3 linked regions of the Macaca fascicularis genome follow. The protein of the gene in region 3 interacts with the protein of the main gene of each other region in a pairwise test. Links are inferred from orthologs where the notes say so. Each region holds a gene or a part of one and is shown on either strand. Other genes may lie near its edges.

Evidence for each region. The genes of interacting proteins can lie anywhere in the genome.
Region 1: the proteins of TXN2 (region 3) and TRIM21 interact in binary tests that used the Homo sapiens proteins (3 or more experiments, as listed by UniProt). The two-hybrid records come from large-scale screens. The link is inferred for Macaca fascicularis from reciprocal best matches to the Homo sapiens genes TXN2 and TRIM21.
Region 2: the proteins of TXN2 (region 3) and RBM45 interact in binary tests that used the Homo sapiens proteins (3 or more experiments, as listed by UniProt). The two-hybrid records come from large-scale screens. The link is inferred for Macaca fascicularis from reciprocal best matches to the Homo sapiens genes TXN2 and RBM45.

Annotation. Positions count from the first base shown.
Region 1 is NC_088388.1:70,006,836-70,010,508, reverse strand, and holds part of TRIM21 (E3 ubiquitin-protein ligase TRIM21), read right to left. Parts: intron 3,323-3,673; exon of another isoform or gene 3,319-3,322; 5' UTR 3,287-3,318; coding exon 2,879-3,286; intron 2,604-2,878; coding exon 2,508-2,603; intron 1,393-2,507; coding exon 1,162-1,392; intron 1-1,161. UniProt on the Homo sapiens protein: E3 ubiquitin-protein ligase whose activity is dependent on E2 enzymes, UBE2D1, UBE2D2, UBE2E1 and UBE2E2.
Region 2 is NC_088386.1:73,679,253-73,683,285, forward strand, and holds part of RBM45 (RNA-binding protein 45), read left to right. Parts: intron 1-1,474; coding exon 1,475-1,594; coding exon of another isoform or gene 1,595-1,597; intron 1,598-2,377; coding exon 2,378-2,566; intron 2,567-4,033. UniProt on the Homo sapiens protein: RNA-binding protein with binding specificity for poly(C). May play an important role in neural development.
Region 3 is NC_088384.1:15,191,067-15,195,099, forward strand, and holds part of TXN2 (thioredoxin, mitochondrial), read left to right. Parts: intron 1-2,768; coding exon 2,769-2,892; intron 2,893-4,033.

The DNA of each region.
Region 1 (3,673 bases), on a different chromosome or scaffold from region 3:
CCAGCTTGAAGCAGAAAGGATGTGTGGATGCTTGTGAGGTAACCAGAAGCCCAGCATGGATGTGACCTACAGCTGGGGAAGGATTATCAGTTTGAGGACTCTGACTCAAAGACCAGATTTTTTTCCCCCAGGGGAGAAAGAAAGGAGGGCAGAGAGGGCACATAGCCCAGCTTGGCTTAAGCCCAATCACAGGCAGAGAATGGCCAAGTTCAGGTGTCTAGAAACTGCTCTGTTCCATTTGTGGGCTAGCATTGCTTGGGAAGGAAAGGTTGGTTAGTTAAAGTTCCCTTGGGTACTTAATGTTGCCCCTTCCTGTATGTGAAACCAAATCACTGAAAATATTTTTGTTATAGGGATTGGGAGCCATTACATGGGAGCTAGCAGGATCCTAGACTCAGTTAAAAGTATGTTAGAAAGCCTGGTTCATGGCCAGGCATGGTGGCTCACACCTGTAATCCCAGCACTTTGGGAGGCTGAGGTGGGAGTCTGAGGTTGGGAGTTCAAGACCAGCCTGACCAACATGGAGAAACCCCATCTCTACTAGGGATGCAAAATTAGCCAGGTGTGGTGATGTAAGGCTGAGGCAGGAGAATCGCTTGAACCCGGGAGGTGGAGGTTGCAGTGAGGCAAGACCGCGCCATTGTACTCCAGCCCGGGCAACAAGAGTGAAACTCCATCTCAAAATAAATAAATAAATAAATAATAAATAAATAAATAAATAAATAAGAAAGCCTGGTTTGGGCAGAAGAGAGCCTGTCAAGTCAACCCAATACAATTAGGTTTTCTGCACACACCAGAAAGCAATGGCTCATGACCACGCTGAGTCACAGTGAACAGGGGTGAAGAAAGAACTGTAGAATGTTAGAACAGAAGGGACTTGTGAGACGATCTAGTCCATCATTTCGTACAGTGAGGCAAACATATCATTGGTGGATGCAAGATGATTCTAAGTGCAACATACATTGATTTTTAAAAAGGTCCTATACTTATTTTCATCTTTACTTTGTGCCTTGAATGCAAACCATTCGTGGGTTTGAATTCTACTTTATTTAAGAACATTCCAGGGACCAGGTGTCCATTTATTCGAATGGCAGTTCCAGATAGCTCTGGTCTTTTTCAGTTATTCCCGGAATAGTAGAAGGGAACCCCTCCCTGTCTCACCTGCAGCAGTTCCAGTGCTGAGCCCTGGCGCCTTCTCTCTAGCTCTGAGATGAGCTCCTGCAGGGCCTGGCTCTGTTGGGCCAGTTCGGCCTCTTTCTCCCCTAGGATTCTCAGCTGCTCCCTCTCATCCTTCTCCAGCTCCTGCAGCTGCCTCTGTTCTTCTTCAACCAGGAAGTTTTTTTGCTGCACAAACTCTGCGTGAATCCTACATTTCTGTGTCTCCACCGTTTTCTTTAGTGTCAAGGGAAAGAGAGAGGTGGTTTTTATGAAAAGCTCCCAAACTTTGGGAATGGAGGTATTGGTACCTATTCCTATTCCCCAAAGACTCCACTCTGGTGTTGTCTGGGAAAACACACGCACACACACACAAGCATGTGCACACACACACACACACAATTTTGCTTGGGAGGTAGGTGAAGTTTCCGGGACAGTGAGGGGAATGGACTTGGTGAGGGCACATTGTAGCTGGCCTACAACCACAGCTACATGGATATACGGCATTGGGGACTTTTTCCAACCTCTCTTCCAAACCCAGTCACCACTCAAATGTGCCCCTGTGTCTTCCTGTCTCAGTGAGTTACTGAGAAAAAAAACACCTGTTCCCACCTCCAACAACCTCACAAAGCCAGGCTGACACCACCACCTCCAAGTCCTGGGAAAGGGGGCTTGGGGACATTCTTTGCTTTTCATCTCCTGTTAGTAACTGGAAGGTCACTCGATGACATGAGGGTCTGTTTTGTCACCACAACCCAACTCACACCCTACCTCAATCCCAAATGTTTCTTTTCTGGGATCTACTGGGGATGGGCTCCTTCCTCTCCCCTCTCATCCCCAACATGCTCCACGTCTCCTTGGAAATGATCAGTGCAGAACAAACATGGATTCTTCATTATATTTGGGACCAGAGATCTGGTCATGGTCAAGTAACCACCTGGTCAGATGGTTTCCTTAAGTCTATTTCTCACAGCCTTGTCATTTCCTGAAAGGCTTAGCTAGCAGTTGGGTTTCTCCTAGGATATTTGTCTCAGACATCCAGGTGCTGATGCCGTCACACCTCTGAGACTAGACTCAGAGGAGCTCAAAACTTTAGGGTATAGCTAGATCCTCTCAGCACCTTCTTCCAGGATTCTTGATCTTCAGGCCTGATGGGGAGCTCCCCTTTGAACCTGCATCATTTTTATTCCCATCTATCTGTAAACCTAGAGAGCAGGTGCTTTCTGGAGAGTGAGACGGACCAACTCTATCACAGCTCAGACAGGCACAGCTACAGTTAAGGCTGTGAGTTGAGGACCCTGGACCCTGCCCAACCTTCTAGCCTAAGATCCCCTTCAGGATGTCATTCTTGCCTTCCAGTCTGCTCTCTTCATTGCAATTTCCACTTCCAACTTCTCAGCCAACTCCTGCTTTCTTCTCAGTTCCCCTAATGCCACCTGGAGCTTCTCCTGCAGAGAAAGACAGCATATTAGTCCCCATGCAAACCAAGTAATAGGGTGGGGTAATCCTTGCAGCATTTTCTCATGCATATCGCCTACGCCTGGAGAATGAGGTTGGGTTTAGCTTATAATTCTCCTTCTACATTAGACATGGAGAGAGGTAAACTCCTCCTTTCTCTAACCCCTCCAATCCAGAGGTGGTCCTCTCCCATTCCCTGCTCTGAAAGCAAAGCACTCACCAGGGCCCATCTTCTTTCCTCCTGTTTGTGTCTCTAAGGCCTCACCTGGTACTCCTGTGCAGCCTCCTCAAGAGGGACCATGGTGTGGTCACGGTGTTTCCGAGATTGGGCACACACCCAGCAAAGGGCCTTCCCATCTTTCTCACAGAACAGGTGAAGTCTCTCTCCATGCACTGCACACTGTTCCTCCTGTGCACCCTCTCTGGCTTCCTGGCTGATTTCTCTAAGGTTGTCCACCATGTTGGCTAGTTGTCGATTGGGGCGGAGATTCCTGAGCAGAAAGTGCTGCCGGCACACAGGACAGACGCTGCCCCCATCTTTCCCAACCTGAGAGATGCATTCCTGGCAGAAGCTGTGGCCACACTCGATGCTCACAGGCTCCACGAAGGGGTCCAGGCAGATAGGGCACGTGACCTCCTCCCACATCATTGTCAAGCGTGCTGCTGAAGCCATTGTCAAGCGTACTGTTAAGCCCTTTAGTAGGGCTGGCTGGGAGGAAAAAGAAAGGGAAAAGAAAATATGAGAAAGTCTGTGTAAGAAAAACAAAAAGTCAACATAATCCCTATCAAAATACCAATGACATTCTTCACAAAAATAGGAAAAAAAATCCTAAAATTTATATGGAATTACAAAAGACTCAGAATAGCCAAAGCTATCCTGAGCAAAAAGAACAAAACTGGAGGAATCACATCATCTGATGTCAAATTATACTGTAGAGCTAAAGTAACCCAAACAGCATGGTACTGGCATAAAAACAGACACATAGACCAGTAGAATAAAGAACCCAGAACAAATCCGTACATCCACAGTGAGCTCATTTTCAACAAAGGTACCAAGAAC
Region 2 (4,033 bases), on a different chromosome or scaffold from region 3:
TAAAAATCTACACATACTGGAAAGAATTACTGTTAATCAGTAGAATTCTTTGATACCCCGAAGGTACATATGAAAATTTTCTCTTAGATCCTTCTGAATTTCTCATTTAGCCAGCACTAACTGAGTACCTGCAGTATACTGATCAATATGCTAAGTAGAGAGATACAGATGAAGTATATGGCAGCCCTCACATTTAAGGAATTTATAGCTGTATTGGGTAGCCAAGATCTAATAGGCAAAAAATAAAGAATGGAAGAACTTTTTTAAAAGGCTCTTTGAAAGCAAGAAGTATGTCTTATTAGTCTGTCACTCCAGGTATCTAGTACAATAATAGGCCCTCAATAAAGATTTATTAAGCTCTCTATAAAAGTAACTGCCATTTATAGTAGACTCAGTAAGAATTTGCCAAATGAAAAAAAAATGTTCATAAGTGTATGGTAGAGTCTGTCAATGGTGAAAAACAAGTGTGCTGGATGAGCGTGGCAACACATGCCAAGGGGGTAGGACTTGTGTCTGGTGTCGAGTAGGCAGGACAGAACGTGAGAGCAGTGCTAGCAGAGGCACCATGCCAGGAATAAACATGTCTTTTGCTTAGTGTTGTGAAGGCAGCTGTCTGAGTAAAGCACAGTATTTCTGTTGAGACATTCTGAGACACAGTTAACTAGGTACATTGGAACATGGGAACAATATATGGGAGGTTAGGAAAAGTTCAAGGTTAGTCCGCATTAGAATTCCTTTGTAGATTGTTTAGAAAGACAAAAGTAAGAACAGTTGATCTAACCCCACAGTATTAATGATAGATTTCCAGAGAAGAATTCAAACGAGCTGGTTTTATCCTTTTTAAGCCACTGAATAATGTGAAGAAAACTGAACCCTTGAAATATGCCCATGTGCACATAAATGCATAATAAGCATTTTATTTAAAGTTTCAGAGGGTTCATGGAGTCTTCCCACCTTTTGAAGCTCATCCTTGGTCCCCTAGTTAAGAACCCTTGATCCAGAAGCAAAAAAAATCCAGTTAAAGGGCTGTTGTAATTAACTGAAGAGAATCTAAATTAAAAACAGAAGCAAGGAAGTTAGGGTAAAAGATAGCATATTCCAATTGTGCGCATTTCAAAGGAAGAACGTTGGTGACAGTTTAAATATGAAGAAGCCCTACAGGATTTTGATGTTGAGGAGCTTAAGTGAATGAATGATGATATTATCTGTAACAGGGGAAGATGGGAAGGGATAGCATAGAATTGCTGATCTTTCATGTCTACATTGACCCATAATTTGGTATACTTGCTGTTTGTCATTTACTCTTTGCCATCTTCCAGAAAGCAAAGAAGTAGGTCTGGAGGAGATGGCCATTGTATAGATTTTCCTTTGTACAATTATATTTATAAAGCTGAGTCAGGCACTAGCAATCAAGTATATTTGCAGGTATGTTAAATTTGCTATGAAACTTGAAATTCATGGGTTTTCTTTTCAGGTTTTAGAGCAATCTTGGCTGAACCTAAAAATAAAGCATCTGAATCCTCTGAACAAGATTATTATAGTAATATGAGGCAAGAGGCTTTGGGACATGAACCTAGAGTAAATATGTTTCCATTTGGTAAGTAGGCGACCTTTACTTTTAATAGTATAATGTAGTATATGCGATCTAACTTGGGTTTTAAAAAATACTCTGTTATCGGGCATCTATAAATTTCACCTAGTGAATAAAAATCTTAAATGTAGGGTTTTTTAATTCCTAAAAAGTGGATTATGACTCCTAAAGTTCTTAATATTTAATACTTATTTTGTTTAACTGATTTCTAATTATAGTTTTCTCTGTTTAATTACGCATTCCTCATATTAGAAACTATTGCCACTGCCACATATCACCGCCACTTTTTTGGGTGAGCTTCTGCCGCTGTACAGCTGACCAAAAACTTAAAAAGACATATGTAGATATCCTCTCAGTATGAGTCCTAAAATTTTGTCCCAGAACTACTGCTGCTTTAAAATTAGGGCTACAGAAAAGAGAGGAATGGTAAAAGTAGAAGCTCTAATAGAAAAAGGGGAAAATGGGTAATGAAAGTAAGGCCTGTGAATGTTATTTGACATAAACTTTCAGGTAAAATACTTGCCATATTTTTCAGTTTTGCATACTAAACTTATTTCTGTGAAATTAGACTATGCATTTCTTCGTATATTTCTGCATTAAAGGTAGGGGAGTGGGGAGAGTTGTCTGTTTTCTTGTCATTAGTCTCATCAGTAGTTCTGATGACCAGAAGCCTATTACAAAATACAGTGCTTTTATTCAGTACAATGGACTCTTTGTATTCTAGTATTTAAAATGTTAAGTGAATTGTTGGCTGTGTAGAAATCTAAAGATTTACTTTTTTTTATATTGTTGGAGAACAACAATCTGAATTTTCAAGTTTTGACAAGAATGACAGCCGAGGCCAGGAAGCAATCTCCAAACGCTTGTCAGTTGTATCAAGAGTTCCTTTCACTGAAGAACAGCTTTTCAGCATTTTTGATATAGTACCAGGATTGGAATATTGTGAAGTTCAACGAGATCCTTATTCAAATTATGGTAAAATAATATTCACATTTTTATATATATATATATATATATACACACACACACACACACACACAGAGTTTTGTTAAAATGGCTTTTCTCCAGTGGCACTTTTATGTCAGATATTGCTCATGTGAGAGGAATTTTATCTCTCCTTTTTCTCTACTTTAGACTTCAAAATATGATGATACCTTAATAAACAAAGCCCTGGAAATATATCTTCTTTTTACAAAATTATTCACTGTAAAATATATTTTAACTCCCACAAAATGTAACATTCTGTATTCCAGTTGCACAACAAAAAATGCCTCAGGATAGAGCCTCTGTCTCTGCGTACTCTTTTGGTTAATGCTAGACAAAGTTATGAAACTCACAAAGGTTCCTCCTCATTCATCCCTACATCTCTTTCTCTTAAATTTATATCCCTCCTTCTGTTCATTCCAAGCATCTAAATGCCCTACTTCTCTCTCTGCTTCTTCCAATTCTCAGTGGAAGCAAGACTCCAATATCAGCCATTTGAACTTATTAATTAGTTAATTGATTACACCCATTATCTAGCATTAGCTAACCCATCTTTGTGTTTTAAGCATTTGATTTTATTAAGGCTCTTTGTTAATGGAGGCATTGTGGCATAATGGGAAAGTTTGGCCTTCCATTTTGCATCAGAATCAAGTACAAATCCCAGCAGTGGCATGTAGCTTTGAGACCTTGGCAATTTGCTTATCCCCTCTGAGCCTCTCTTTGCTCATATGTAAAATGGGATCATTGACACTTTCTTTGCCAGGGTTGGGTAAGAATTAGAGATAATATATGTAAAATAACCTAATGCAAGTTCTGGCATGTAATAGGGCATTCAGTAAATCTAAGGTGTTTTTTTTTCTTTGTTAGTGAGGGGTGGTAGAGAAATCATCCTTGGTTGGCATTTCTTCCAGTTTTGTAAGGATACCTGATTTAGTCCTTTTAGAGTGACATGGCTGTTGACACAGAGGTAGTGATGTGAGTTTGGTCATGTGGACCAACACGACTAAGGTAACTCCACCCTTCATACAGACACCCCTACATACTCACTAGTACCTGACCCAGCACTAGTCTTTTTGTAGAGCTGTCTTTGAGCCATCCCCAACCTTAACCCGATCATATGTTGTCATTCTCCGTTCTAAGACTTCTAGGTACACATTTTTGTGTTCTCTGGCACATTTGTTATATGCATGTGAAGTTGTGTTTATTTTGTTTTGTTCCCTCCCTTTTATCTGGTATGTTGAAATGTATTTGTTCCTGTACCTCCTGTTATGTTTCTCTGGTTGGATGTGTCTGAAACATACGTGTCATTGGAACATCTTTTTATTAAGAGAGGTGTCATCATATAGTTCGAATCTCATTTGAATTAACTTTATATGGTCATTTGATTTCTGCATTTTATTTTAATTCCATTAAAATATTGGATGCTTGGGTTTCCAGATGAACATAAATTATAAGTGT
Region 3 (4,033 bases):
TTTGTTTTTGAGACAGAGTCTCATTCTGTCACCCAGGCTGGACTGCAGTGGCTTGATCAGCTCACTGCAACCTCCGCCTCCCAAGTTAAGACGATTCTCCTGCCTCAGCTTCCCAAGTAACTGGGACTGCTGGTGCCTGCCACCACATCCAGATAATTTTTTTGTGTTTTTGGGAGAGACGGGTTTTCGTCATATTGGCCAGGGGTCTCTTGAACTCTGACTGCAGGTGACCCCCACCCCCCACCACCTCGGCCTCCCAAAGTGCTGGGATTACTGGTGTGAGCCATTACTCCTGGCCTATTTTCAGCATTTAAAATCCTCAGGCCTGACCAGGCACGGTGGCTCAAGCCTGTAATCCCAGCACTTTGGGAGGTCAAGACAGGTGGATCACGAGGTCAGGAGATCGAGACCATCTTGGCTAACACGGTGAAACCCCGTCTCTACTAAAAATACAAAAAAACTAGCCAGGCGAGGTTGGCGGGGGCCTGTAGTCCCAGCTACTTGGGAGGCTGAGGCAGGAGAATGGCGTAAACCCGGGAGGCGGAGCTTGCAGTGAGCCGAGATCCGGCCACTGCACTCCAGCCTGGGCGACAGAGCGAGACTCTGTCTCAAAAAAAATAAATAAATAAAAAATAAAAATAAATAAAACCCTCAGGCCTGACTGGATGTAGTATGTACCACCACACCTACTGCTCAGGAGGCTGAGGCAGGAGAATTACTTGAACCCAGGAGGCAGAGCTTGCAGTGAACCAAGATCGTGCCATTGCACTCCAGCCTGGGCAAAAGAGTGAGACTCCATCTCAAAAATAGATAAATAAGTGCTGAGAATAAAATAGGAGTTGTCAGCCAGGGGTTTGTGAAGGGTGGAACTGTTTTGTCCTGCTGGTGTAGTGAGCATTCCAGAGAGGGCTTCCGAAATGCACGATAAATGGGGTAGTGCCTCATTTTGTTTGGTAAGGAAGTGGGGTGTGAGTTGTTCATTCTTTGCCAGGCACTGTCCTTGGTGCCACATACATAGAGATGACAGCACCAGGCCTGTCCTGGATGAGCTTCCCCAGCAAGAGGGGAACCTGTGATCAGGGCAGTGATAGTGGTCAACTCAGGGGCTGTGGGATCACAGAGTAGCCTGTGGGTGAAAGAAAACACTTTCTTTTTTTTTTTGAGACAGAATCTCTGTCGTCCAGGCTGGAGTGCAGTGGCATGATCTCTCAGCTCACTTCAACCTCCGCCTCCCAGGTTCAAGCGATTCTCCTGCCTCAGCCTTCCTAGTAGCTGGGATTACAGGTGCCCACCACCACTCCTGACTAATTTTTGTATTTTTAGTAGAGACAAGGTTTTACAATGTTGTTGGCCAGGCTGGTCTCGAACTCCTGACCTCAGGTGATCCGCCTGCCTCGGCCTCCCAAAGTGCTGGAATTATAAGCGTGGGTCACCGCACCCGGCTAAAGAAAACACTTTCAACACAGCTTTGGGTTATGATCGATCCCGGCTGTGCTTCTCTAATCTTGCACTGGTTTCTTAACTCGTATGGGCTTCAGTTTCTTTGGAAGGTGCGTTCTCTTTGCAGAGTTGAGGGATGTGTTTGGTAAGAGCAGAAAAAGTGCTTGTCCAGGGACTGGCGCGTTGTAGACACTCCTGGCCATTGGTTCCCCTCCTTTTAGTTCTGAGTCCACATGGTGTTTGCAATAACCCCGCAGCTTCCAACGCATGTTTACCCACATTGCCTTAGTTGATCTCTCCTAATAGCTTTGAGAGCCATAATCTCTCTTTTTCAGATGAAGAAACTAGGACCCCAGAATAATCGGCTGGTTGGTGAGGAGCCTCTGTTTGAACCTTTTAACTTCCAATCCCATATTCTTTTTTTTTTTTTGGGACGGAGTCTCGCTCTGTCGCCCAGGCTGGAGTGCAGTGGCCGGATCTCAGCTCACTGCAAGCTCTGCCTCCTGGGTTTACACCATTCTCCTGCCTCAGCCTCCCGAGTAGCTGGGACTACATTAGCTGGGACTGCAGGCGCCCACCACCTCGCTCGGCTAGTTTTTTGTATTTTTTAGTAGAGACGGGGTTTCACCATGTTAGCCAGGATGGTCTCGATCTCCTGACCTCGTGATCCACCCGCGTCGGCCTCCCAAAGTGCTGGGATTACAGGCTTGAGCCACTGTGCCCGGCCCCAATCCCATATTCTTTTATATGACAGTATATTTATCTGAAATATACTGAAATAAGTCACTTTTATTCTAAGAGTCTTCTGATGAGGCCTGTGTTTTAGAAGTCTGGGATCTGTGAAGATTTCCCACGTGCAGAATCTCCTGGCATTACCATTTGGTGTGTTAATTTTTTTTTTTTTTTTTTTTTTGAGACGGTGTCTTGCTCTGTCGCCCAGGCTAGAGTGCAGTGGCGTGATCTTGGCTCACTGCAAGCTCCGCCTCCCGGGTTCACGTCATTCTCCTGCCTCAGCCTCCCGAGTAGCTGGGACTACAGGTGCCCGCCACCGCGCCCGGCTCGTTTTTTGTATTTTTAGTAGAGACGGGGTTTCACCATGTCGGCCAGGATGGTCTCGATCTCCTGACCACATGATCCACCCGCCTGGACCTCCCAAAGTGCTGGGATTACAGGCGTGAGCCACTGTGCCCGGCCTGTTATTTTTTAAACGTGGTAGACAGAGATAATAAGGGCAAAAGATTCCTTGGAAAGATGCAGGTCTGGGAAGCCAGTAGGGGATGCTGAGCGGTCTTTTGACTGACTGGATGCTTCCTTTCTCGCCTTTTGAGGTGGTGTGGGCCCTGCAAGATCCTGGGGCCGAGGTTAGAGAAGATGGTGGCCAAGCAGCACGGGAAGGTGGTGATGGCCAAGGTGGATATTGATGACCACACAGACCTCGCCATTGAGTATGAGGTATGGATTGACAGGGGGTTGCCACAGGGCAACCAATGTAGGGGGTGTTGGGCCCAGGGGTAGCTGGTGTAGGAGATATCTTGGGGAGGACCAGGTAGCCAGTAAGCAAGGTGTCTTGGTTTTTCCAGAGCTTTTTTTTTTTTTTTTTTGAGATGGTGTCTCACTGTCACCTGGGCTAGAATGCAATGGTGTGATCTTGGCTCATTGCAGCCTCTGTCTCCCAGGTTCATGCAATTCTCCTGCCTCAACCTCCCGAGTAGCGGGGACTACAGGCGCACACCACCACACCTGGCTAATTTTTTGTATTTTTTATAGAGACAGGGTATCACCACATTGGCCAGACTGGTCTCGAACTCCTGACCTCATGATCCGCACACCCCGGCCTCCCAAAGTGCTGGAATTATAGGCATGAGCCACCGCACCTGGCCTGTTTTTCCAGCGCTTTTAGTAGCTCAGAGCACTTTGCAGAGGTGGCTGTTGATCCTCTGAGCCACCTGTCTCTTCGCCACCTTTAGGAAGTAGATAGTACGACCCGAAAACACCAGGTCATTCTCTTAGTCTCGGACATTGGTACATTCCTTTATTCATCTACCCACATGTTCAATGAGCAGTCATTTGGGAGCTCGATGTGCAAGCATTTGTGATTCTGACACAAATAAGATGAGGTCTTGTCTCCAGGCAACTCCTAGAGAACAGCAGGTAGAAAGATCATCTCCGTATAGGGTGAGGAGTGCTAAAAGAAGAGACGTATAAAGGAAGAAGGGACTGTTTGCTTGTGGGGGAGCTGGAGGGGACAGGAACGCTTCACGTTAGAGAGAACCTCTGAGTTGAGCCATGAAGGATGTCAGAGAAGGAGGAAGGGTTGAGGAAACAGCGTGCACAAAGGCATGGAGTCGCCTCACTTGGTTGGTTGGTTGGTTTGTCCATTTATTCAGCAGATATTTGAGAGTCCCTCGAGTGCCAGGTACTGTTATTTGGTGTTGAGGGTAAGGCAGTGAACAAAACTGACAAAAAGTCTCTGCCTTCAAGGAGTCTACATTCTAGTATTTTAAATCAAGGGTCGACAAACTTTATCTCTAAAGGACCAGTTGGTATTTGAGGCCTTGCAGGGCAGTGGTCTCTGCTACAACCATTCAGCCAT